Mus musculus: one gene and its partners. The main gene of each other region encodes a partner of the protein of the gene in region 6 in a complex. Links are inferred from orthologs where the notes say so. Each region holds a gene or a part of one and is shown on either strand. Other genes may lie near its edges. The genes, in order: Klhl25, Klhl22, Klhl12, Klhl42, Klhl21, Cul3 and Kctd5.

Region 1 (4,158 bases), on a different chromosome or scaffold from region 6:
TCACCTACACCCTCCTCCAGGAGGCCTCACAGTGACACGGGCAGCATTTGAACCCAGGTCAACCAGAGCCTGAGCTCCTTCCACTCACCCTGTGCTGAAGGGACTTAAGGGGCAGCCCTGCCAACCTCAGAGTCCCTTTCTGTCCCTTTAGTGTCTGCTCCCAAGTCCTAACAAGCCCCAGAGACACCTGGCAGGGCAGGCAGGTGTCAGCTTCAGATGTCTTTAGAGCTGGTGCCAGCAGAGGGTTCTCAGGGCATGGGCACGGTTGCTGAGAAGGAGAAAAAGCCTGCAGTGGCAGCCAGACAGCAGCAGACTCATCACAAGTCCTGCTGGGATGCGGTTTCTGTACGCTGGGATGCTTAAGTTCTGCCTCTGCCTGGCCATCCTCACATAGCTCCCAAGTGTTTCCTGGCCTCGAAAAGGATTCACTGGCAGATCAGCAAGGCAACTCAATTATGAAATTTACCACATTAGAGGACTTACTGCATTAGCATTTCAATCGGCCAATTCATTTGTGGCCCACCACTGTTGGCTTGTGCCAGCTCTATAGGGGTGTGTGTGTGTGTGTGTGTGTGTGTGTGTGTGTGTCCTGCCCAGGGCACACTGACACTGCCAGCTAATAAAGAACTCAGGGCCCAGGCAGTGAGCTGGTGAGCAGGAGCCCCCAGAAGCTGCTGGGAAGCCAGGTCCTCCAATGAACCTGGACAGCTGCCCATCCTAGAGCTGGCCCTGGGAGAGTGTGGATGGATGGCTAGAAAAAATGGCTGCAACCAGGGCATGGAATGAAGGTTTGGTAGGCTCATGCTGGCTTTCCTTTTCTCTCTCCAAGAAGCCTTCATCCTTCTCTCCAGCTTCCTGTTACCTGCTCCCTGGGGTTCTGCAAACTGATGTATCAAGGTCCCCATCCATGAGCCAGCACCTCCTCCTTTCTGAAAGCAGGGTCTCAATATCATCTGCTCAAATGATTAGTTTGACTAAAGCCGTCTCTGCATACATAGCAAGCTCACTGCTCCAGGCCGCCCTCCTCCCTCTAAGACAGGAAGGATGCATTTACTTTACAGCGCACACGGGGGCATTTCTTTTTGTCTTCCTACTTTTCTCTCCCTACACTGGTGGCACAGGCTTAAGATGCCATCAACAGGAACTGAGCCACCGTGGAACACACAACTTGCACACGGATCCTGCACCGCTGCATGGCGCAAGGAACCCAGTTGCAGTTCGATGCCCATGAAAAAGATTTCGTCTGTCCATCCTCCACAATTTTTTTGAACAATCTCCCTGGACTGGCTTGCTGATAAAGGACTCAGCTGAAATATCAATAATTACAGGGCTGGGACAAAAGTGACTTTGCCCATCTCCACAGACAAAGCCTGTGATCTCCACAACCCTGTCTTAGAGGGACCAAATCTACTGTAGGATAAGAGCACCGTGGGTCCTCCCTCCTCTGTCCCCTGACACAAGCTTTCAGCAACACCCATAAAAAGTCCTCCCAGCATAACTGTGCCGCTTATGAAAGAGGCTCAGCAAACTAGAGGGTCAGGTGCCAAGTGCCCCTCCCTCCCCGTCTTACTCCAGGGGTGAAGAGCCCAGACATCTGGCATACCTTGTCCTGCCCTGAGCATGGAGGGAGAACTAGTGCCCAATGAACCTTGGCCAAAGCAACTTGGCCTCTGGTCTCCCCAAAGTACAGATGAACTACAAAGCCCCCGAGAGTCCGCCCCTCCCCCCAACTTCCTGTGCTCGAGTCTCTAGAAAGTCTCCCAGATTGGTAAGGTGGCACTTGCTTATAAACCCAGCTCTCAGGAGACTGGGACCAGAGATTTCATGCTCAAGGCTGGCCTGACGTTTATAACAAGACTAAAACCGGGAGAGGAAAAAAAGAAAAAAAAGTAAGACTGTGAGAATCCACTTTGAGGTCCTTGAGGCACTTGCACCCAAGTGTCTGGTGCCCCAGTAGGCACAATTCCCGAGTAGGAAAAAGCTTCTAATACAGCTATGAAGGAGACTAGTCCAGTGGGGATTTGCAGACCACAGCGGAATTCTCGCGCCAGGGCAACGCATGGGAGGAGGGGAATGGGATGGCGGGGGGAGGGGGGGGTGGACTACTTGCTACGGCCCTGCCAGATCGGCCACCACCTGGGTAGGTAGGGGCGTATGGCTCCGGGAGTGTCACCACTCTCCCTTGATAGACAACTTTCCAGACAGGAAGGACCCTATGCTGCGGGCCACACGGCCAGGCCCTGCTGTCTACTCTTCCCTGGTTTAACCCCTCGGCCCTGGCTAGGTACAAGCAAGTCGCGGGGACCTTGGCTAGGTGTGTGCACAAAGCTGCACGGTTCGCATCCTCGAAGACAAGCAGTTTCCTCTTTCTAGGATCAATAGTAATTTTTTTAAAAAAGAGAATCAGCGGACTCAATGAATCAAACACTCCCGGGAGAGGGTAGCCGCTCCTGCGCGTAACATCCGTTTGGAAAACAATTCATTCCCTTGGCGGGAGCTCTGAACATAACAGTACGGGGTCCCCAAGCTCGATCGAGGGGCGCTCCCAGGTCAGCACCCACTTCCCCGACCCAGTGAACTGGGCCTGCGGTCCTACGCCCTGCCCGGCGATCCTCGAGCAGGATCGCTCGCTGTCCCGGTGACAAGTTCCGACCTGATCCTCACCGTGCGGCCCCACAGGCTCTGCAGTCCCCGCCGCTGCCGCCGCCCCCGGCCGGCTCACCAGTCCCGGCCGCGATCCCGTAGCCGAACCGCACGGGCGCTGCCAACAAACTAGTTTCTCCGGCCTTCCCGCCCCGCCTCGCGGCCCGAAGCGCAGCAACCAATCATAAACCGCGCCTCTGTGACGGATGGGTCGACTGACCCGTAATACAGTCGCGTGAGAAGAAAGGGACGGTCGTCCAGGCCATCGGTGCCGCGGAAGGCGGGGCGGGGAGAGGAAAGCGACTGCCACCAGATTCTTAAAGGGACAGGCCATTGCCTTTCTGTTCTGGTGGCCAGAGTTGGGAGAAAGCAACACGACCTGTTCTAGAGCTTCTCTTAAGGAAGGTCTTTGTCGATCACACGCATTCTTCTTTCTGTTACCGAATCACAGCCGTTGTTGATCTTTTTAAAGACCAGCAATCTAATCGCTCCTATGTTAAGGAAATCCTTTTTCCCTCCCGGCTAGTTTCGATGCGAGGGAATTTCTACAGACACGAATCCCTGTCTATACTGGGAATTCCCAGATTTCAAGGGAGAGGACTTTAAGCTTCAGCTGTTCTGTCAAGCCGGTGGAAATTTCTTCCTAAACTTTTTTTTAACCCTTCAAATATCCTTCACTATTAGAACTCTCAGCGGTACAAAACTGATAGAGTAAATCTATATCTATACATACATACATACATACATACATACATACAACACACATATGGAATTTATTAGAGTAACTTTCAGGCTGTGGCCGGGGTAGCCCAACAATGGCTGTCTCCGGATATAACGTCTGAGAGTCCAACTGTCAGTCCACGAGGCTGGATGCTTCAGCTGGTCTTCAGTATACCTTGGAATTCAGAAGAAGTTGGCTATAATACAATGAAAGAATGACCCTACCTGTGAAACTTAAGGGCAGACAAAGAGCAAAAGCTTGCTTCTTCCAGGTCCTTTTTCCAGGCTGCCGCTAGAAGGTGCCCAGATTTAGGGTGGGTCTTCGGGGGTGGGTGGATATGGGGGACTTTTGGTATAGCATTGGAAATGTAAATGAGCTAAATACCTAATAAAAAATGGAAAAAAAAAAAAGAATGAAATTGGCTCAAAAAAAAAAAAAAAAGGGTCTTCCTATCTCAAATGATCCAACCAGGAAAAAATCCCTCACAGGTGAGCCCAGCTGCTTGGGTTTTAGCTACTCCAGATATAATCAAGTTGAGGATCAAGAGTAGACATCACACTTGCCCAACGCATCCATTAGTTCATTTAAGAGTTACTAGATGAGCTGGGGAGTGGCGCTCACAACCACCTGTAATGAGAACGCCCTCTTCTGGTGCGTCTGAAGTCAGCTACAGTGTACTTATGTATAATAATAAATCTTTGGGCCGGAGCGAGCAGAGACTCTAAAAATTCAATTCCCAACAACCACATGAAGGTTCACAACCATCTGTACAGCTACAGTGTACTCACATACAT
Region 2 (3,262 bases), on a different chromosome or scaffold from region 6:
ACAGACCAGGACACTACTGTCCTGTTCCATATTCTTTCCATTCTCATAAATGGATATTCTAAGCAAGTTCTCTAGTGCTGAGTTGCACCCCAATCCTCGGAGCTTTCTGCCTTAGACATGCAGTGAGGCGAACAATTTTGAGCTCCCCAAGGAGGATGGGACTAGGTCAGCACCACAGCTAGAGTCAGGCTGCCCAGGAGCTAGAGTGGATATGAGGCAGCAGGAGCTGGTGAGCCTCAGGGCAGACATTCTAGATGTTCTGACTGAGAGACAGGCAACTACTTGCCACCTCAGTAGCTCAGGTCCTGGTTTCTGTGTGACCAACATTCTTTCTGCTTGTGGAGCTTATCATATGTTGGAAGTAGGGTAGTGACCCCCTGGTTTTAGTGCAGAGACTCAATTCCCATGCCAAGTCCATCCCCCAGGAAGGCTGGCCTGTACCACCCTAGATGCCACTGAGGCAGTAACTAGAGAGAAAAGAAACTCAGACTGTAGCCACATTAGATGTAACACCTTTTGCATAATGCTTTATTTCATTTTTCAACAATATTGGGTCAGACACAGAGCAATGAGGGTATCTCTTCATCTCCAGGTCCAGTTACAGGTATATAGTTACTCTAAGAGTATACCTTGAGAGCTCCCCAGTGCTCAAGGCCCTGGCTGCAGGCAGCTGGCGCTGCTCACCAGACTGACCACGGTTCACAGAAAGGGAGCCACAAACTTTGGCTATGGCTAGGAGTGCTCTCCCCAGGATCTCTTGAAAGAAGGACCTTACTTAACCCATCAGGGACCAGACTAGGGAGAAGAAGCGGCCAAATAGATCCCACTCATTCAGAGTTTATAGAGGATGGGTCATTCCCTCTGATGATAGCAGCCTTCCCCCCAGCACTTTTCTTTGTAATGTAATTCACAGCCACAGAGTTTACAAATGCTGGCAGCTGGCTGGTTGAAGAAACAGAGTGAAAGGGGCAGCTGGTGAACCAGGATGGCTTAAGGAGGGGCCCCTCCCCTAGAGCCTGGTGTTCTAACCCAGGCTCTACGGCCTTCACTGCCCATTACCCTTCCTGAACACCCAAACACTGGGGAGAGCCCTAGTCCTCGCTAGAGTTGTCAAACTCTTCCCAGTCAGACACACTCATCACCTCAGAAGCAAAGTCTGCATCTGCCTGGCTACGGTTGGGGGTCCCTCGGGGTTGCTCATGGAGCAGGGATCGAGGCAGGGTGAGCACACAGGCTGCCAGGCCTGAGATGGAATTGTTCAGCTGGGGTCCCTCTTCCCAGCAGTCTTTCTCCATGTCGTAGATGTGCACGTAGCCTGTACGGCTGCCTCGGTTGTGAGAGCGGCCACCCAGCACATATATCCTGCTGTCTAGCACAGCAATGCCAGGCTCACCATGCCCAGCTGGGAGTGGGCAGACCGATGACCACTGACGAGATGTACAACTGTAGCAAGCCACCTGCAAAGCCAAGACCAGGGTCAATCCAGGCAGCTTCTGGGACAGGTTGCCAGCCCACCCCAAGTCACTTCTGCCCATGGTCAGGTGTATAGCAGGCCCACTGGAGGATGCTCACCTTGGTGGTCTAGCCTTCCCATCCTTTAGCTCCTAAGAGTCCAGATGCCTCCCCTCATCATCTCTAGATCCACTCCTGCTTCTCTCCCTTTGAAAGGCTGGAGCGGAGGCCATGGACCCACCTGACATCTCTTCTTCCTTCACAGCAAGCACCCTTACTCATACTCATGAGGAGTGTGTGGAGCAGCTACTTGCTGACCACCAAAGCAAAATAAATAGCTAAAGCAGTAAACAAAGATTTGAGAAAAAATGCTCAATCTATTAATAATCCAAGAAGCGTAACACCAAAATGTCCCCTGTTAACCAGTAACCATGGAGGGAAGGAACCCATAAAACCCAGTGCAAGTGAAGGTGTGGCAAAGCTGGTGCGCATGTCTCACATGTCAGAAAAGGAAGTAAGTAGTATTCAGTAAGAGACACTTAACCCTCTTCTTCAAGCCTGACAGTGGTGGCACATGTCACCCAGCACTTGGGAGGCAGAGGCAGGAGATCTCTGTGAGTTCAGAGCCAGACTGGTCTACAGAGTGAGTTCCAGGACAGCCAAGGCTACACAGAGAAACCCTGCCTCAAAAAACCAAAAGCTAAACAAAAACTGACAGGCAGAAGCAGGTGGCTTGCTACTTGTGAACTCAAGGCTAGCCTGGTCTCCTATTTGCTCCCAAGTACTGAGGCTGTAGGTTTAGGTAACAATGCGCAAAATCTTATATGCTTTATTAAGCAAGCAAATCAAGGTTCTTGCTACAATAGGCAAAATAATACTCCTTGCCCTAGAATCCTAGCCTTTGGAACCTATGAACATGTTATGCTACATGGCAAAACTGACTTTACAGATGGGATTAAGGGTTGGAAGTGTATTTCCTGGGTGGACCACTCCATAGTTTTGGTTTGGGACAGGATCTAGATACATAACATTAGCTGGCCTAAATCTCTGTAGACCAGGTTGGCTTCGAACTTGCAGAGACTTACTTGGCTCTGCTCTGAGCACAGGAGTGAGCAACTGTGGCCAGTCAACAAACAGTTCTGACTTAGGAAGGTTTCACTTATAGTTTTTCAGCTTTTACATTGATGTAAGTTTTGTTAGACAACATGGTTCCAAGTTTGAACTTGTCCTTTTCAGGAGTTAGTTAACTCAGTACAGCTACTCCATTTTGAGAGTTCCTACAGTACTCCATGTGCTAAGTGATGACAGCTGTTGGGTCAAGGGTGGTTATATGCATTTGTATGTGTGCGGAGGTCAAAGGTCAATGCCATATGCTGTTCCGCAGGAATTACTTTTTTTTTTTTTTTTTTTTTTTTTGATACAAGATCTCTCACTGAGACCCAGGCTCAGCATTTGGGTTAGGCTAGCCAGCAAACCTCAGGTACTGTCTTCAAGCCTAAGTACTGTGGTTACAAGCAGCCATCATGGTGCTTAGATTTTTATGTGTGTTGTAGGGGAATCAAACTCTGGACCTCATGCTCATATAAAAAGCATTTTATGGACTTTGTAGCTTGTTGTAAGACTATAGATAGACAGTCCTATCATGAATGGAGAAACATCTTTAATTATGTAAGTACTCAAAATAAGAAATGGAAAGGCAGCCAGAAGGAATAGGAAGGAAGACTCACTCCACCTGCCCTTGCTGCTTGAAGATGAAGTGGTTACCAGCAGGAAGGCAGCCAAGAAAGGCTGTTCACAGTTATCCAGTAAA
Region 3 (2,421 bases), about 54 Mb from region 6:
TAGGGCTACTCCAGCACCTGGGGAAAAGAGAGCATCAGCACATGAATGGCAGTAAGCCTAGCATCTGAACCCAGTAACAAACACGGCCGCTAACGGCTGCACTGTGGAGATGAGGGATGCACACATGTCAAAGCACTACAACAGTGTAATACAGCAAATGTCAGTGTGTGCATTGGTCAACCCTTAGGTTAGGGCCTGAAATTCTAGCAGAAGACTGACATGGGTCTCATCTCTGCTGTCACTAACTCACAGTCTATCTCTCTTCTGTGTTAGAGACAATGAGAGGAACCAAGGCCATGGCTCTGCTGTGATCTCTGTCCAGAGGCAGTTACATCACAGCCTATTCAACTAAGAGTTCTCAGCTGTTAGAGTTAGATGTACCTCTATGATAGAGTACTTGCCTAGTATATGCAAAGCCCTGCGTGCAGTATTCAGAATTTAAAAAAAATTATTTTTAGGCATTAGAGATTTTATCTAATACTTATTGCCATTTATTATCAGGTATATGTCACATGTGTGCAATCCTGGGATTACTTGGAGTCTAAAGTTAATGTGAGCTATATACTACATACAGTGAGATCTTAGATTAAAAAAAAAAAATCACCAATGAGTGTAGTGGTATAACTTGAAGCCAGAAGCAGGAGGATCACCTCATAGCAACTTGTACACTGGCCAGGACTGCACAGTAGGACCCTCAAAACAAAGTCCAGCCAGGTTTGTCAGTGCACGCCTTTAATCCCAGCACTCAGGAGGCAGAAGCAGGTATAGGTGCATCTCTGTAAGCTCAAGGCCAGCCTGGTCTACAGAGTGAGTTCCAGGACAGCCGGGGCTGCACAGGCAAACCCTGTCTTTAAAACAGCAAGACATCAACATCCAAAGAGTACAAAAAGCAAAGACATAGACCTCAACAGGTCTGTGTACAAAAATATTTATTTAACATGTACTGCACACACAAAATGAGGCTAGTGGTCAAACTACAAGAATAGAAAAAAGTACTAAAGAATAAGGAATCGCTGTCCTCAAATGGACAATCTAGCTCAAAGTTTAACCTACCTTCCTTCATCCTAATGTTGTAGGGAAGGCAGAGGTGGAGGAGACTGGACTGTGACTCACATTCACAATGGGTCTACAGTGAAATAAGAACTACAGTTCTGTCCTACTGATACCACACCCAGTAATTAAACCATCACTTCATAGGTTTGGTCTTACCAGAACGCTTGGTGGCCATAGGCGTAACGTTAGTCCAGTGTCCTGTATGGGGATCATATTTCTCAACTGAATTTAATATGTTCAAGCCATCATATCCTCCTGAAAGACAAAGTGGAGAACATTCCAAAGAGAAAGGTAGATTACCAGGCTCATCTTAGTTGGCCTTCTGTGAGTAATTCAACTGATTATTTATTTATTATATGTAAGTACACTGTAGCTGTCTTCAGACACCCCAGAAGAGAGGGCATCAGATCTCATTACAGATGGCTGTGAGCCACCATGTGGTTGCTGGGATTTGAACTCAGAACCTTTGGAAGAGCAGTCAGTGCTCTTAACTGCTGAGCCATCTCTCTAGCCCTAATTCAACTGATTCTTTCAGTTCTATTTTTTCCAGAGGTCCAGGTCAGAGAATATGCAACATCCTACATATTGCTTACAAGAAAAATATAATCCTATTCATGGACAATATATTGAGAAAAGTCAGAGTTTTTGTTGATGCAAGTATATGCACTTAATTCTGCCCTCCAGAGTCTGTAACCACTAAGCTCTCTCCAGCCCCATCCCAGGCTCATACCTAGACAATAGATTATTCCGCTGGCCACTACTAGTCCTGCGCCCTCTCGAGCTGTCTGCATATCTCCCAGCATACTCCACTGATCGATGTTTGGGTCATACCGCTCCATACTTGTATGACGCCTACTTCCATCAAAGCCTCCAGAGACGTAAATCATATCTGCTCAGAGTGAACAAATTATAGACTGTTAAATTAAGAATGAAAAATACCTAACAACTTTTATCTCTACAAATTACCCATTGTTAAGATGGGGGAAGAGGGACTGCACACATGAATGTAATTACAACACTTGGGAGGTTCAGAAGGAGGTTCAGGAGTTCAAGGCCATTCCTGGCTACAGACTAAGTTAAGCCTTAGCTATTTCAGAACTCATCCCAGGCAAACAAATTATTATATTTCTTCAAGTTGATTTTTATTATTCTTAAATTTCCCATGGTGTATATTAATTATATATGGTAGTGTATAATACTACATAAGCACATTCTTGTAAATGTATATTTTGTATATATTTTCTGAGACTTACGTGACTTAAATGGTAAGTCATGTAAGTCTCAGAAGGAAGAAAGGCAGTACAAACAAGCATTTAAAGCCCATGCTGGTAAGCCCAAGTTTGAAACAAGGGTGAGTTACACGGGGAA
Region 4 (4,066 bases), on a different chromosome or scaffold from region 6:
AATCAGGACTATACAGAGAAACTATGCCTGAAAAAAAGAAAAAGAAGAGAAGAAAGAAAAAAAAAAGAAAGGAAGGAAGGAAGGGAGGGAGGGAGGGAGGGAAGGAGAGAGAGAGAGAGAGAGACAGAGAGAGGGAGGGAGGGAGGGAGGGAGGGAGAGAGAGAGAGAGAGAGAGAGAGAGAGAGAGAGAGAGAGAGAGAGAGAGAGAGAGCGCCCATCCTGTCCTTGGCTACTCTTTCTACTGCTGGGACACTGGTATTGAATCTGAGGCCTCAAAATTCTAGGCTAGTGCTATCCCTCTAAGACACCTTTCCCCTACTCTTTCTGGTTTTGCTACATTATCCAGGCTGGCCTGGAATTCACTCTGAAGGCCAGGAAGAATTTTAACTTGGAATCTGCCTGCTTCAGCCTTCCAAGCAGCTGGGGCAACAAACCCTCTCTACAAGCCCTGACTTGTCCCCCAGGCCACTTGGGAAAGATGGGTGAAGTGGAAAGGAATGCATCTTCAAGCCATAAGAGGGGGAAATTGAACAGTACGAGTTGGTTTTTGTCATTCCTTCAACCACTGACATGGTAGATGCCTTACATTTGAAGTTATAAGTTACAGATTATTTATTGTAGAAAGCCAATACTGTACTGTACACCTTTAGTCCCAGCTCTCTGAAGGCTGGAAGGCAGAGGATGGCAGACCCTCATGCCTAGGAGTTCAAGACCAGCCTGAGGAACATACCAAGATAAAGGAAAACCATCTGAACATATGCAGGAGGGTATATATATATATATATATATATATATATATATATATATATATATATATATATATATATATGCGCTAATGTATATATGCATAGGTGTATATGTAGGGTTTATATGTACATGCTAAAGCTACCCACAAGGGACTCAGGCATCCAGACCGGGGAGTCTGAGGCATCCCAGATAGACAACAGACTTGGAGAGACAAGGGTACGCCCATTCTGTAGCTGACCGCTCCAGGCTCAAGTTTTGGGTCAAAGATGATTGCCGTCTTAGAAGGAAATAAGAAACAAAAGTGAGGATGAAAAGAGAAGAGAATCCTCTCTGGCAAATCCCTTACACCATCCTAGGGAGAGGGGATGCACGCTCTCCTACCCAAGTGAGAAGGATCCAAAGTCACTGTCAGCAACAACAAAAATTTCTGAAGCCAGAATTACAAGTTACTGCTAGTGTCTCCGTAATTCGGGTCAGACAAGTTAAAGAAAAGCGAAGGAAAAACAACCGTTATCTTTCCCAATAGCCTTCTCTGCAAGCCGGTCTAAGGCAGAGAAACCATTCTTACCTGGGGCCTGCACCTGAAAGAAGACCACTAGGCTAGCTGACACAGTACTCGTCTTCTTCCTAGCAAGCCCTGGGCTCCCTGGGAACTCCGCCAGAGGCGACAGGCCAGCAGCACTAAGCAAGATGCCATCGCCTCTGGCCAGCAAACACCAGGGCAATGAATGAAGGGTGCAGACACCCCCTTTGCACTTACCGCTTCTGGTTCATGGAGGCCACCTGCAGCCACTCGTTGGTGATGGGATTGTAGGAGTGTGCGGCAGAGATCTCCTGGCTGGTGATCCTGTAACCACCCACGATGAAGAGGTAGTTGTCCAAAATGGCTGAGCCGTAGCCCCTGACGTTCACCAGGTCGGGGGGCAGGTTGTTGGCCAGGGGGAACCAGCGCTCCGTGGTCTCCTCGTACCTAAGCATGGACGGGGGTTCCCCCTGATACGGGTGCGGGGCAAGGGGTCCCCCGAGGAAGTCCCCCAGGGCCACCAGGACCGGGGTCCCGCGCATGCGGGCCTCCCTCAGCCTCTGCTTCAGGCTGCAGTCCCCGGGGGCCTGCGGCGGCGACAACAGTAGCGGGAATTGCGGCTGACACAGCACCTGGTGGAAGCGCAGCACCATGAAGCGCAGGCAGGCGTCCTGCAGGTCGGGCAGTCCGTACACCTGCGCCAGGCGGTACAGCTCCAGGCAGTTGCCCAGACGCACGTGCGACAGCAGCAAGCGCAGAAGCGCCGTGACCTGCAGAAAGGACGCGGCCTCCACCATCTCGGACAGCACACTAGCCTCGGCCAGCTCGTCCTCGCTCAGGCCCCAGCCCTCGCGCGCGCCGCCCGCGTTGATGAAGTCCAGCACCAGCCGCAGGCCCGGAGCGCTCAGGCCGCGCAGCTGCTGCACCTCCGGGCCCACCTCGGGCCGCACGGCCTCGCGCATGCCGGAGCGGTAGAGCGCGCGGAAGTAGTCGCTCTGTTCGATCAGCTTGCTCTTGCTCACCGGGTAGCAGCGGTCTTCCAGGCGGATCTGCACCATCTCCTCGGCCGACATGGCTGGGCCGCTGCGCCCCGCCGCTCGGCCGCTCAGGCTCCTCCCCCGGGCGCACAGCCTCCGCCGAGCCCGGCCTGCGCTCTCGCTTCCTTCCTTCCGCCGCCGCGGGCCGCGGGCCCCGGGCTCAGCCCCGCCGGTGCGTCACACGCCCTCCGAGTAAACGGCCTCTCTGATCTTTAATCCATGTGTCTATGTGGGTTCCTCCGCTACAATGCAGGTGCCAGGAAGCCAAAGGCGGCAGATCACCCTGCAGCCTGAGGTAAGGGCGGTTGTGAGCTGCCCTACGCGGAAACGGAGCTCCTGTCCTCCGCAGCAGGAGTGTGCACTCTTAACCACTGTGCATTTCTCCAGCACGGTGTTGTTAGGAAACAAACAAACGCGTCGGTTCGCGGTGCTCGCCCCCTACGCACAAGTCACCGTACTTGATCTTCTGGTGTTTCCCGCAGCCCCACAGTCCCTGTGTGAGTTTTCCTGGGCCAGTCAGTACTGCGAGGTTTTAGATCCGCGGGGTGGTTCCAGAGTGGACTAACGGATTACTAGGGCTAAGCAATTTATTAGAAGAGTTATTAACTCCATGGACAAGACAGACAGATAGGAAGGCAGGCAGTGGCATGGTTCAAACCCCAGCACCAAGACAGCAGAGTCTCTGAGCAGCAAAAAGGGCAGGTGGGTGGAGAGGATGCGGAGATGGGGATGCGGAGATGAAGATGCGTCAGAGCTGTCCCCTCTGGGTAGCACTTGCCCGCTCTCATCCCTATCTACCCCACCACCACCATCCCATCATAGCTGTTAGGAAAGAACATTTTCCTATGTTCCCTGGCGGGACGCTTGGTTAGAAGGCTGGATCCCAAAGGCTGTAATGAAGCGATAGTGTCTGCCCTGGTACCCATGGTGCCCTGCCTTGCATTCCCCAGCATTACTGTGTCCGTCGGCTGCTTCACAGAGAGAGGGCTGTCGGCCATTATATTCTGCAGAATACACACAAAGGTAAGGAACTATGAAGTACAGAAAACATTCTAGCAGGATCCGGCCTTCCCATGGGAAAGAGACACAACACATGGACCTGAGGCTTGCTATGCCTTACTTTCTTGGATACTCTGAGAAACTTGGAACACAGCCCCGTGATTGACAGGCCTGCAATCATTCCTGGCAGGCTTCCGTTCCCCATCTGTCACTCTCAGTGTTTGGGGTATGAGGAGGGTTTCAGGTGAGGGGCCAAGGATTTAGTAGATTCTACAGCAAGGCAAAATGCCACAGCTACCATTAGACATCAGGCTGGGGGCTTCTGGGAGGGCTGACTTAAAAAAGGCTGGACCTGGATCTGTCTGCGCCTCCATCAGCAAGGCAGGATTCAGTGAGTCACCAGAAGAACAGGCTCTTAGTCTCTGGCTCTTTAGAATCTTTACCAATGGAAGCTTTTGTTTCCAGACCAACTGGTATTCTCTTGCCTTTTAAAACAAACCAGAAAGCCAACCTTTGAGAATGATTCTCATTAGAGAGGCAATTCAACCCTGGTCACATTACCACAGTGAGGTCAGCTGGACTGCAATCTGAAGTGGTACCTGACAATACTGGGCACCGCTCCTGCAAGATTTTAACCCCTGGCCATACGATGGGGCATCTTAAAAGATCCAATAACTTCAGTAAACCACACAGTGTTCTAAAAAGCTGGGCATAAAGACAAATACATATAAACTTCTTTGTTACAAAGTATTTAAGCTAT
Region 5 (4,195 bases), on a different chromosome or scaffold from region 6:
CTTGTGTGCCCGAGGCCCTTCATTCCATCTCCAGCAGAAAGAAACAAAATCCATACTCAGTTCCCAGCTGCAGCATTTAATCCTGAGGCTTCCTGCTGAGCTGACTCCCAGGAACTGCAGGATGTTCCTAGCAGCATCCCACTTCCTGGCTGCTCAGCCTGTCGGAAGGGCTGTGTGTAAGCTGGGCCAGCCTCCTGGGCCCAGGAATGCTGCTCTGCCTTTAATAGCTGTGTGAACAGTCCTTCTATGGGCAACAGGCGGTTGCCTGGGTACCTGCATGTTTGCCTCCTTAGAACCTGTGCTTCCCATGGTGACCCTGAAATTTAGACCAGAGGCATTCTCGTTGGAAAAGGAGGAGAGGTTCCTTGAGTGGAAAGCCTGAAAGGGTTTAGAAATGGAATAAAAGCAAATGTCTCCAGCCAAGGCTGTGTCAACCCAGGAATGACAGAGGACTGACTCCAGGGTGCTTGGGCAGGCTTGAGGCTGGAATGCTTTCAGAACGGAGGTGGGGGACAGTTAACAGCAGACGCCGCTGATGGCAGATGTTTCTCTCTCCACACTTGCCTGAAACCAAGTAAAGCAAAACCCAAATATGGCTTCTAAGTGGGGGGGCTCCTTCTCCAAGAGTACGTACATATATACATACATTACACGCATATACATACAAACAGCCCCCACTGCATCACCACTCAACTGTGACTGCTACCGGCTCTGCAGCTTTTCAAGGTGCTGCCCTGCCCGACCTTGAGCTGGACCCATTGAGCCACCCAGAGGACTGGGAGCCTGAGCGATCCCCAGCAGACCTGCCCCTACCCTTTCTGAGAAGCCTGCTCGGAAAGTAAAGCCACTGCTTTGCTGATGCGCTGGAAACTCAGGCATGAACACTGTGGAGCACATTCCTGGAGTCTGGCCCCACCAATTTGCTTAAACGCGCCAAGAATAAAGGACGACGACGAAAACCCATCGAATTTGTTCGTGTTTTGGTGCTGAATTGTGAAAATAGCGTTTGAAATCTGACTGGGTTAAGTAGCTACCCCTGGAGCCACTGAAACTAAAACATCGTCATTCCCAGATGTTCTGAAGTTCCCAGGAGCGCAATAGGGAATTTGAGACCAAAGGGGTGATTACGGATTCGGGCGCCAAGCTCGCCTCTCCAGACCTCTTTCTGCAAACCGCTGGGCTGGTGAGTGGTTAGCCCTCACTTGTCACCCGCCGTTCTCAGCGGAGCGTCAGCTGGAGACGACTGGAACCCCCGGAAGGGAGGAAAGGGGCCGGCGTAGGCGGCTGTGACTCAGACCGCAGTGCTGGGAACAGAAGGGTTAAATGGGCAAGGTTAGAGGCGCTCCGCCCCAACAGACCCCGCCCACGGAGGCTGCGGCTGGTCTGCGTATTTATAGAGGCGGTGCCGGACGCGCTGGGGCGTCCCTGTGACCCGCAGCTCCGCGTCATGGAGCGGCCGGCGCCTTTGGCTGTGCTGCCCTTCTCCGATCCCGCGCACGCCCTAAGCCTGTTGCGCGGCCTCAGTCAACTGCGCGCCGAGCGCAAGTTCCTGGATGTGACCCTGGAGGCGGCGGGCGGCCGCGACTTCCCCGCGCACCGCGCCGTGCTGGCGGCCGCTAGTCCCTACTTCCGCGCCATGTTCGCGGGCCAGCTGCGCGAGAGCCGCGCCGAGCGCGTGCGCCTGCACGGGGTGCCGCCCGACATGCTGCAGCTGCTCCTGGACTTCAGCTACACCGGCAGAGTGGCGGTGAGCGGCGACAACGCCGAGCCGCTGCTGCGCGCCGCCGACCTGCTGCAGTTCCCCGCCGTGAAGGAGGCGTGCGGCGCCTTCCTGCAGCAGCAGCTCGACCTGGCCAACTGCCTGGACATGCAGGACTTCGCCGAGGCCTTCAGCTGCTCGGGGCTGGCGAGCGCTGCGCAACGCTTCATCCTGCGCCACGTGGGCGAACTGGGCGCCGAGCAACTGGAGAGGCTGCCGCTGGCGCGCCTGCTGCGCTACCTGCGCGACGACGGGCTGTGCGTGCCCAAGGAGGAGGCGGCCTACCAGCTGGCGCTGCGCTGGGTGCGCGCGGACCCGCCGCGCCGCGCGCCGCACTGGCCGCAGTTGCTGGAGGCTGTGCGCCTGCCCTTCGTGCGCCGCTTCTACCTGCTGGCACACGTGGAGGCCGAGCCACTGGTGGCGCGCTGCCCACCTTGCCTGCGCCTGCTGCGCGAGGCCCGCGACTTCCAGGCGGCTCGCTACGACCGGCACGACCGCGGGCCCTGCCCCCGCATGCGTCCGCGCCCGTCCACCGGCCTGGCCGAGATCCTGGTGCTGGTGGGAGGTTGTGACCAGGACTGCGACGAGCTGGTTACGGTCGACTGCTACAATCCGCAGACCGGCCAGTGGCGTTACCTGGCCGAGTTCCCCGATCACTTAGGTGGGGGCTATAGTATCGTGGCTCTGGGCAACGACATCTACGTGACGGGTGAGTGAGTTGGTGGATTTCCAAGAGAGATATACTCAGGACCTGGCATTCTAGGGCCTGACCTAACCCTTGGCAGGGCTACTTCCTTAAGTTCTCCATCTGTTTTTAAGCTAGAAGAGCCCCCCTGTACGAGCAGAGACATAGCTCCTTTGTGGGTCTCTGTGCTCCTTGTGGTACAGTCTGCCTTGTTTAGCCAACTCCTTGCCCTGAGGTACCTCCCTCTTTTGAGTTGGAAAAGACCGGGCTTTGACCTGGCACAATGGGTGCTTTCTTTTAATCCCCAAGGAATGTGGGGACAGGATGCAGGCTGGCGCCTGGTGAGGCATCTTTCCCTCCCCAAAGCAGGGACATTTCTCCCTCCCTGCTAAGCCACAGGGGCCTCCTGACTCAAGGCTTTGTCACCAGTGACCAGGTTTCTTAAGAGCCCGCACCTAGGCGTTGCACTGTGGATCACATGGTATTTAGGCTGCACTAGTCTACGACTGTAAACATGGTCACATGTTGAGAGATTTTCTTCCACTTACTTGGCTGAAACCCCAAAACACTGCCGAGTCACGGTAGGCGGGCCCCAGCCTGCCCCAGTACTGGGCTTCTCCCACGTTTTTTTCACTAAGGATGAATCCCTGATCAAACTGTAGGGAGGCTACAGGAGGCCAAGAGGAATGGCCTCTGGAACTGCTATATAAGGAAAGACCACTGAGGCCTCTGGCCCTATTATCAGGCAGGCAGGCATGAGGCTGGGTCGTCACGGGGGCCGTGCTTAGGGTGGCACATTCCACATAAAGCCTACCCTGATGTTGCTATGTCGGAACAGAAGAGGGACACATCCCGTCAGTGTCAGTTCTGACCAGCCGCCCTGAGTCCAGCTCTCTGCTGAAGCCTGCCAGTGTGTATCCCTCTTTAACAACCTGAGACCGACTCTGTGTTGTTTGGGGTTCCTCCCTTGCCACCCTGCCCCCATCTCCTCCGAAGTCTGGCTAGTGATTTTGAGCAGAGAACGCCTTCCCAGAACTGGCCAGACTCGCCCTTGGATAAATGTCACAGCTGAACAGCTAATCAGGTTTAGGCAGGTGGCACCGTCCTGGCATTCAGCTGCTGGTAGGGGATTTTCCTGCCGGTCAGGAAGCCGCTTCAGCTGCTTTGCAGGGTCCCTGTAAAAGGCCCACAGATGCCTCAGACTCTCCTTCCTCAAAAGCTCCAGGCTGAGAGACAGACAGAATGTCTCTGTCCTGTTTAAGGCGGGCGCCAGCAGGGAAAGCCAAGGAGCACAGCCTCCAGGATTCCTGCAGTCTCCTGATAGCATGAAAGTTTTGTAGTCTTACATCTACTTTACACACTGTTTTGTAAGACAGGGTTTCTCTGTCCTGGAACTCTCTCTGTAGGCCAGGTTGGCCCAAACCTCACAGAGATCTGCCTCTTTAATAGCCTTTTAAAAAAGACTTGTACACACACACACATATCAGTGCCTGTCATACTTGTATAGCTTGATAAGAATTTCAAGTGAAACGTGCCCTTGTGCCCTCCACTAAAGTGCAAACTAGAATGGCAAAGTATATGGAGGTGTGGCTTGCTGTGTTAGGTCTCTTGGGGAACGCTGTGTATTCTCACCGTGTCCTGGCACAATCCTGGTTTGAAAGTGCCCAGGAAGTCTAGGATTTGGTGGCCAAGTCCTATGTTTGCTGTGTACCGGGAAGAGCCGCCCAGAGCCAAGGCTTGGCTGTTCTGAG
Region 6 (3,268 bases):
ACGCTATCCTACCAGGTTCTGTGAACTGGGAAGGTAACCCAGAAGTTAATAATATCATCAACATGATTAAACTATATTCTGGTATGTATTCAGAATACTGAAATCTAACTAATCCTCGTTAGCATCCATATTTTGACACAAAGAAGTATGTTTTTAAACATCCATTAAATTTTCAAGTAAAAGCTTTAAAATTTTTGTACTTTTTCTTGTCTAGTTCTTACCTCACATCCCCAAGTACTAAGATTATAGGTATTAGGCACCATGCTTGGTGCATCTAACTTTTTTTAAATCAGGTCACTAAATTTTTCAGCTTTAAATGGCATGTCGGCTCTAGTAAAAAGATAGGGATTTTTGTTTGTCTATGTGGAAGTGTTTTAGTTAAGACTTTACTTTTTCTTTTTAGGTAACTCAGCAACTGAAGGCTCGATTCTTACCAAGTCCAGTTGTTATTAAGAAACGTATTGAAGGACTTATTGAGAGAGAATATTTGGCACGAACACCTGAGGATCGCAAAGTATACACATATGTAGCATAAAATGCATTCAGAAATTTGATTTATTCTTGGACTGTACTCTTCGCATGGACTGGGAAGTTCTTTTAAATCATACTATTAAGACGACCATCTCTTCTGTTAAATTGCAGTACGTGTTATAGACCACTCAGATCAAGCCTCTACTCCCTCTGAGAGTTTTCAACATCAGTTGATTGAGCTTCAGGCTTTCCAACGTTATCCCTGTAGAGATCATCTTTACAGTTCCTCGGGAAAATGTGAATGTGCCGCGTTTTGTTTTCAATATTGTATGAAAACAGGAAAAAAATAAAACAAATTTAGAAAACACAGCTCATTAAAATAAAATTGTTGGATTTCATTTCCCCAGGTCTTCAGTGTTGATGTAAATGTGTTTCTGTAGTGTTGCTTATTAGCACTTTGCGCATTGTGTAAGTTGGGTAGCAAAAATGGCAAAAGAGATGCAAAATTCCCAGTTATCTTGCTCTGCTTGTGACATTTCCTTCGCTGGTATTGTTTAAAGGTTTGATACATATACAAAGACCCAGGCATACAATTGGCGCATGCTTTATCCTACCACTTGCACTTCCTAGTCTCACAGCCTTATGACCAAGGACCTTTATTTGGACATCAATACATACCCTGACTTGTTTTTCTCTATTGTAATCTGAGGTTTTCCAAATTAAGTTCTAAGATTATTAGGTTTTGCTCTGAGTTATTTCTAGAGAAAGAAAATATTTTAGTATGTATAAATTGTACAATAATTTTTTTGCTGTTGTACTTACTGCTAACAGTGGATTGTATAGGGTGGTGTTTTTATTTCATTTATTGTAGACAAAATAAATAAATTTAGTATTCACATACACACTAACTCAAGTATGTCAGAGCACAAAGGTGGCAGCTGGTTCTATTTAATTTAGTTCCTTTGAAAAGCACATCCATCCATTCTACCATTTGTTTATAAATATATCCCCCATCCCCCCACACACAGTTTAAATATATATTTTGGTGAAGCTGTGGTACACCATTAATTGTTTCAAAATGCAATCTAAAGATGCAATAAATAGAGTACCTTGATAGTTTGAAGGAATTCTTCAGTTCTTGCAGCTGTGTTTTAGAAAGTGATTAAGCAATATTTTTCAAACGTGGATATTTAGCTATCCATTGTCCTCTGAAGAGTCCTTTTCATGTTTTCAAAGATGTGCTTTGTGCTGAAGATTTGTGTGTCCGTTCCTCTGTGCTTCCAACTATCACTGAAGTCTTCTACCTGATTGATCTGCCAAGGATTATAGTTTGCTTTAACTTCAGAGTATTTTTATCTTCCATTTTATTTAATTTTGTTCCTTTTTCTTTTCTTTCAAGATAATGTTTTAGATATGTAATTGGGGAAAACCACTAGATTTCTGTCAAAAAAATGAAATGTTACTGAATTCAAGTAACCAACTCTCCATTGAATATCAATACTGTTGATATACTTATTAGAATGTATGTCTCAGAAGATGGTTTCTGTTAAATATATGAAGTTACAATTACTGAATTCTAATATGGATTAAAAGCTCCACATAAATATTTTCCCCATGCGTCTTGGATTATAATTTTCCTTTTAGACTTGCTTTTATTGCATTTAAATTTGCTTTTATATGTACTGTTAATTTTAAGTCTTAGGATCTTAATCTCTACATGTTCTCCACCTTTCCATGAGACAGTAAAGGTGTGGGCAGTACGGACAGGTTCTCGGTGCACCTTGCTGTGCTTGCACAGGTACGGTGGGACACTGATGGATTGCTTTCTGGTGTAAATAGAATTTTTACGAAGGAAGCTACTTTTAACAGTTTGGAAGTGAAGACAGCTCAGCTGTACAGATTAGGTCTAATGTATATGTAGGGACATAAAGGTTTGCTAATTGTTCTGGTAGATGCTTGCTTCTGAGTTAAAGTAAATGTATTTGTTGGGCAATGCTGGCTCTGCTACCTTACAAAATTCATGTGATGCATTTGGTATTTCTCAGCAATAGGTCATTGACATTTTTATCCTCTAAATGTTTTAAAAGAATAATGTGATGAGATTCTTTTTTGTGACTTGAATTTTAGGAAAGATGGATAATTTTTCCAGCTATAAAAAATGATGTCATTAATTGTTAAGTTATTCTTTGCTGTCATTCTTTGTGGGACAGCATTTTTTTATTTGTCATTTAAATATTGAAAATTTATTCCAATTAGGAAACAGCTTCACAAAATAAAAAATATGGTTGTAATTCCAAGGATTCTTTATGTCAGTGAACTACAAATGGAATTAAAGGGATGCATGTGTGGGGCATTGTGAGCACAGGGCAGGAAGGCACTGGTTCAAGATCTGGAAGATACTAATACGCCTTTGCAGTGAGATTCTCAAGAACAGTGAAGTAGCGCTGACGTTTGTTTCCTCAGTATGCAGGACAAACAGAAAGGCTTAGGTAAGAGCCAATGCTCTAAAGATAATGTGTACATTTCCAGAAACTAGCACCCTTACTGACACCTTAATTTCTCTATTTGGGTCTAAATTTTAGTATATTTAGTCTACACAATGACCTTTTCAGGTTAATTTTGAATATCCACTTTGATCAAATAATACAATATCTTGCCCTTGTCTGTCTACTGCCCTTTTGAGAGTAGCCTAAGTTTTCATGTTCCATGTTTTACACAGCATAAGGCTCTCTCATCTTAGAAGGAAAACCTTTGTATTATTTGTATTATGTTTTGCCCTATATGGTACTTCTTTATG
Region 7 (3,962 bases), on a different chromosome or scaffold from region 6:
TTTTATTTTTATGATCTGAATTGTGGCTTTATAACTCAGAAATCAAATGTTACTTAAATAAAATTTAGATTTATTTTACATTATGTGTATGAGTGTTTCAGATGCGCATGCCTGGTGCAAAGGGGTCAAAGGAGAGTGTCAGACTCCCTAGAACTGGAGTTACAGATGGTTATAAGTCACTTAGAGAATGTCTGGGAATCCAACCCGGGTCCTCTGTAAGAGCGGCAAGTGTTCTTAACCACTGGGCCAACTCTCTACTTCCTAAATAATAAACTTTAAAAAGAAAAAACAACTAAAATATATTCTGATAATCTTCCACTGCAATAAAGGAAACGCACACATACACACAGACACACACACACACACAGGCAAACACACACATTTATTTACGTGTGTGGGCACACAAGTACCATAATAGTACTGAGAAGTCAGTGTACAACTTTATTTTTAATTTTTTGTTTGTTTTGTTTTTGAGACAGGGTTTCTCTGTGTGTGGGAACTCACTCTGTAGACCAGGCTGGCCTGGAACTCACAGAGATCCATCTGTCTTTGCCTCCTGAGTGCTGGGATTAAAGACGTGCACCACCACACCAGGCTTTTTTGTATATGAAATTTTAATGACTCATTTTATTTTATGTGCATTAGTGTTTTGCTTGCCTATGTCTATATGGGTGCTAGATCCCTTGAAACTGGAGTTACAGAGAGTGGTGAGCTGCTTCATGTGGGTGTTGAATATTGAACCCTGGGTCTCTGGAAGAGCAGCCGGTACTTTCATCCACTGAGCTGCTCTCCAGCTGTTTTGTTTTGTTTGTTTGTTTGTGTTTTGAGTCAGCGTTTCTCTGTGTAAACCTGGCTGTCTTGAAACTCGCTCTGTAGACCAGGCTGGCCTCAAACTTATATATCGTCATGCCTCTGCCTCCCAAAGTGCTTGAACTCAGAGTTTAACTTTTAAGAGTCAGTTTTTTCCTTCCACCTTGTGGATCCTAGAGACTCAAGTTTTCAGGTTTGGTTGGCAGCAGGTGCCATCTCATCAGCACAATAAAGATAATTTATAAAGTAATCTTAAAAGATAGTAAAATGAAGAGATATATTTGACTTTAACTATGCTGAAGTCAAACAGCCCTATATACCTTGTTCCAGTGCTAAGTAAGCAAAAAGACACCAGAAGCCAAGGGCCAAGGCTGACTTAAAATCTGACTTAATACACAAGACAGGGATGCTTGGGTAGAAAAACAAGAATGACTATAAATGCCTACTGTTTGAAAAACCAATCGTAAAGTACACACCCTCACTATAAAAAGGAAACAGCACTGACAAAAGCCTATTTCTATCTGTCAGACTTCTGCCATTTTCTAGAAGGCAATCCTCTAAGAGTGAAGAGATTTGGTCAACTCAGTAATGGTAACAGCTGGGAGGAAGGATATGAAGAACTACCATAGTAGTATCTCAAACTCTAACTTCTTGATTATTTTGCAGTAACTCAAGAGTTCATTTCCTGGTCATAATGCCAGGCCTCCCTCACTGAGAAGGTGCTCTGTTAGGCCGTTTAAAGTGCAATGGGCTCGATCTTTCTGGAAAACCTCCTGAGTAGTCACTTTCAGGCTGGCAAGGCACAAAATCAAGCACCATCATGTAGGCTGAACCAGAAAACTCAGTTAGTACAAGGCTAATAAACTGCCTAGGGGGAAAGGGGAGTGAACGATTTGTTCCTAAGTTTCAATCCTGCACAATACTAATTTTTCAGTATGCAGTACGACACACAACTTTTGTAATGATAATAATTGAAATACTTTCTATTACCACAGGTATTAACAGTATTAGCGTTTAATTAAATTAAAGATAGACAAACCACAAACTAAGCTGGAAATCCCTACCCTTTTCAAAGGCGGTGGGGAAATGAAGTCTGAAAAGGAGATGGAAAAAGATTCTCTACCTGGTCTCTTTCACAACCCTAAGATTTTTTGACACCTGGCCCCGAACATGAATTCAATACAAATAATTCATTTATTAGAATTAAACTGACACCTTTGAACATTTCTACTCAGGTGGTACCTTCTAAGAGATGCCGTGCCTGTCCTTATGAATGAGAAGGATAAAGCACAAACTCTGCAAATCACTGGAAAAAGGGTAGTCACTGTGTCAACCCCCATGGCCTACGTTAATTTAGACGTCTGGAATGTGAAAAGACCAGATGAATGCAAAGGGTTCTCAGGTTCCAAAGCCAGCAAATAGTTGGGCGGTGGTGGTCACACACCCTGGGCAAAAGAATCTGGGGAGAAGAAAGTAGGGCCACAGCAAAGCTTGGGTCCTTCTCGACCGAAGAGCATGAAAGAAGAAAGAGGCACTGTTAAACCAAAGGGCCGAGGCAGGTGGGTACCAGAGTGCCATCCTCCCTCCGGCCCGCTCCGCCGGGCGCCCTCATTGTGAAGAGGTGTGTGTCGCGAGTGGCGACTAGGGCGGCCAGACCCCTGCTGACCCGCGAGGCCCTCACCTTGTCCGAATCTAGGTCGGGGTCCGCCTGGCACAAGCGGTACAGGAAAGACTTCGGGTCCCGGCACAGCGTCTGCCGGGTGGTGAGGAAGTAGGTGCCGCCGACGTTGAGCCGGACCCACTTGGACACGCCACCGGGGCGCTGAGCCAGGGCGCCCATCCCAGCGCTGCAGCGGCGGCACAGGCCGCCCCCCAGCCCCGCCCCGAGGCCGCTCGGAGCCGGCGGCAGCAGCTCGCAGTGATTCTCCGCCATGATCCTAACAAGCCCCGCCACAGCGGCCCTTCGCCGGAAGCGTCCGTTCTTTAATACAGCCCCCCTGAGTTGTCCCGCCCATAGGTACGCCCCAATAAAGTGCCCGCCCAGGGCTCATGTGCAAGGCGGAAGTTCCGGCTCGAAAAGCAGGCCGGAGATTACCACTTCCGGCCGGAGCAAGTCTCGGGTTCTCACGAGCATCCTCGGCTCAAGCTCCGCCCCTACTCAAAGAGGCTCCATGGCAAACAAAGTGTACACTCTACATGCTTTTATTACAAGACTACCGAGCATACGAGGGAAATCCATCATCCGGTAATTACATCTAAAGCACAGATATTTGAAAAAAACAAAAAAAAGAAAAGTTGTTTCATTAAATTATATGATTAAACCATGACCAAATAGAAAATTTATATAATAAAGCCAGGAAAAAAGTTGTAAAATATAGTTTACAATAATTATTCACACTCAAGGCTGTACATCAATACATACAACAACGTGGCCCCAAACATGAATTCAATCCAAATAATTCATATATTAGAATTTAAATAACACAGACTGAACTAGAGGCCGACAATAGCCAGCAAATAACCTTATATAAGAATAAAAATACAAAAGTGTATATCCCAGTATCATTGCATTATCTGTTTTCATAAGTATTTTTAATTTTTCCTTTGCCTGTACATCACAGTTACAGCTACAGAACAGGTAGAGAATATTACACATGTTCTAACTGACTGCCACCAACCTGAATGACAGCAATTCATCCTACTGTACGTGGCTAATGGACCAGCCGCAGCAGCTCTAAATACTGTAACAGTTTTTAATTTGCACATGTCCAATCACACTATGGTCGTGGCTTTAACCTGCACAATGACCTACTTGTAGTCATTAACCCAGATGATTAAACTAGGGTGGACTACATGGGGAGGGAAAATTTTGCTATTTGTAAAAACTTTTGTTCAGTTTGGATTCTTCATATGGAAGAAATGAGTTACAGGGAATTTTCAGGTATTCATATTGGTTAATTCATTTGCTTACTGCTGCAAAAGTGCTTTTGACAGAAACAGCTTCCCTCACATTGCAGGCCATTTTTCCACATTCTGACTTATAACCCTGAAGTGTTAGGCCAGAAGCTAGGTATCTTCAGAGGTTCTGAGAGTGGTTCCAGCCCTGTTCAATGTCAGGGCCCTTGTCTTACCTTCTACCCACGAGGTGCTAC

What was found.
Region 1: Cul3 (region 6) and Klhl25 share a complex: the UniProt entries of both Homo sapiens proteins name them as parts of the BCR(KLHL25) E3 ubiquitin ligase complex. The link is inferred for Mus musculus from reciprocal best matches to the Homo sapiens genes CUL3 and KLHL25.
Region 2: the proteins of Cul3 (region 6) and Klhl22 are in contact, whole or in part, in a cryo-EM structure (PDB 8K8T), measured with the Homo sapiens proteins. The link is inferred for Mus musculus from reciprocal best matches to the Homo sapiens genes CUL3 and KLHL22. Residues at the interface, in NP_003581.1 of Homo sapiens: Thr14, Arg17, Ile18, Arg19, Ala20, Phe21, Pro22, Met23, Met25, Asn49, Ser50, Gly51, Leu52, Ser53, Phe54, Glu55, Tyr58, Tyr62, Leu66, Met118, Asp121, Ile122, Met124, Tyr125, Arg128, Val129, Gln133; in NP_116164.2 of Homo sapiens: Asp73, Tyr74, Arg76, Gly77, Met78, Gly81, Gly82, Leu83, Lys84, Glu85, Leu92, Ile93, His94, Leu117, Gln121, Val125, Cys128, Gln129, Gln131, Pro133, Trp146, Glu150, Asn151, Asp154, Val155, Arg157, Leu161, Phe162, Asp163, Ser165.
Region 3: Cul3 (region 6) and Klhl12 share a complex: the UniProt entries of both Homo sapiens proteins name them as parts of the BCR(KLHL12) E3 ubiquitin ligase complex. The link is inferred for Mus musculus from reciprocal best matches to the Homo sapiens genes CUL3 and KLHL12.
Region 4: Cul3 (region 6) and Klhl42 share a complex: the UniProt entries of both Homo sapiens proteins name them as parts of the BCR(KLHL42) E3 ubiquitin ligase complex. The link is inferred for Mus musculus from reciprocal best matches to the Homo sapiens genes CUL3 and KLHL42.
Region 5: Cul3 (region 6) and Klhl21 share a complex: the UniProt entries of both Homo sapiens proteins name them as parts of the BCR(KLHL21) E3 ubiquitin ligase complex. The link is inferred for Mus musculus from reciprocal best matches to the Homo sapiens genes CUL3 and KLHL21.
Region 7: the proteins of Cul3 (region 6) and Kctd5 are in contact, whole or in part, in a cryo-EM structure (PDB 8U83), measured with the Homo sapiens proteins. The link is inferred for Mus musculus from reciprocal best matches to the Homo sapiens genes CUL3 and KCTD5. Residues at the interface, in NP_003581.1 of Homo sapiens: Thr24, Met25, Asp26, Glu27, Lys28, Tyr29, Val30, Asn31, Ser32, Ile33, Trp34, Asp35, Leu36, Leu37, Asn39, Ala40, Glu43, Asn48, Ser50, Leu52, Ser53, Glu55, Glu56, Leu57, Arg59, Asn60, Ala61, Tyr62, Thr63, Met64; in NP_061865.1 of Homo sapiens: Trp45, Phe55, Leu56, Thr58, Thr61, Arg64, Asp65, Lys67, Ser68, Pro96, Thr97, Tyr98, Phe99, Gly100, Pro101, Leu103, Asn104, Tyr105, Leu106, Arg107, His108, Gly109, Lys110, Leu111, Val112, Ile113, Asn114, Lys115, Leu117, Val122.

Annotation. Positions count from the first base shown.
Region 1 is NC_000073.6:75,846,980-75,851,137, reverse strand, and holds the start of Klhl25 (kelch-like protein 25), read right to left. Parts: upstream 2,801-4,158; 5' UTR 2,665-2,800; exon of another isoform or gene 2,654-2,664; intron 1-2,653. UniProt on the Homo sapiens protein: Substrate-specific adapter of a BCR (BTB-CUL3-RBX1) E3 ubiquitin ligase complex involved in various processes, such as translation homeostasis and lipid synthesis.
Region 2 is NC_000082.6:17,790,621-17,793,882, reverse strand, and holds the end of Klhl22 (kelch-like protein 22), read right to left. Parts: intron 1,458-3,262; coding exon 1,092-1,457; 3' UTR 501-1,091; downstream 1-500. UniProt on the Homo sapiens protein: Substrate-specific adapter of a BCR (BTB-CUL3-RBX1) E3 ubiquitin ligase complex required for chromosome alignment and localization of PLK1 at kinetochores.
Region 3 is NC_000067.6:134,486,531-134,488,951, reverse strand, and holds part of Klhl12 (kelch-like protein 12), read right to left. Parts: intron 1,943-2,421; coding exon 1,784-1,942; intron 1,309-1,783; coding exon 1,210-1,308; intron 18-1,209; coding exon 1-17. UniProt on the Homo sapiens protein: Substrate-specific adapter of a BCR (BTB-CUL3-RBX1) E3 ubiquitin ligase complex that acts as a negative regulator of Wnt signaling pathway and ER-Golgi transport.
Region 4 is NC_000072.6:147,089,809-147,093,874, reverse strand, and holds the start of Klhl42 (kelch-like protein 42), read right to left. Parts: upstream 2,801-4,066; 5' UTR 2,344-2,800; coding exon 1,508-2,343; intron 1-1,507. UniProt on the Homo sapiens protein: Substrate-specific adapter of a BCR (BTB-CUL3-RBX1) E3 ubiquitin-protein ligase complex required for mitotic progression and cytokinesis. The BCR(KLHL42) E3 ubiquitin ligase complex mediates the ubiquitination and subsequent degradation of KATNA1.
Region 5 is NC_000070.6:152,007,496-152,011,690, forward strand, and holds the start of Klhl21 (kelch-like protein 21), read left to right. Parts: upstream 1-1,395; 5' UTR 1,396-1,447; coding exon 1,448-2,468; intron 2,469-4,195. UniProt on the Homo sapiens protein: Substrate-specific adapter of a BCR (BTB-CUL3-RBX1) E3 ubiquitin-protein ligase complex required for efficient chromosome alignment and cytokinesis.
Region 6 is NC_000067.6:80,264,423-80,267,690, reverse strand, and holds the end of Cul3 (cullin-3), read left to right. Parts: intron 1-403; coding exon 404-535; 3' UTR 536-2,768; downstream 2,769-3,268. UniProt on the Homo sapiens protein: Core component of multiple cullin-RING-based BCR (BTB-CUL3-RBX1) E3 ubiquitin-protein ligase complexes which mediate the ubiquitination and subsequent proteasomal degradation of target proteins.
Region 7 is NC_000083.6:24,070,686-24,074,647, forward strand, and holds the start of Kctd5 (BTB/POZ domain-containing protein KCTD5), read right to left. Parts: upstream 2,801-3,962; 5' UTR 2,744-2,800; coding exon 2,492-2,743; intron 1-2,491. UniProt on the Homo sapiens protein: Its interaction with CUL3 suggests that it may act as a substrate adapter in some E3 ligase complex. Does not affect the function of Kv channel Kv2.1/KCNB1, Kv1.2/KCNA2, Kv4.2/KCND2 and Kv3.4/KCNC4.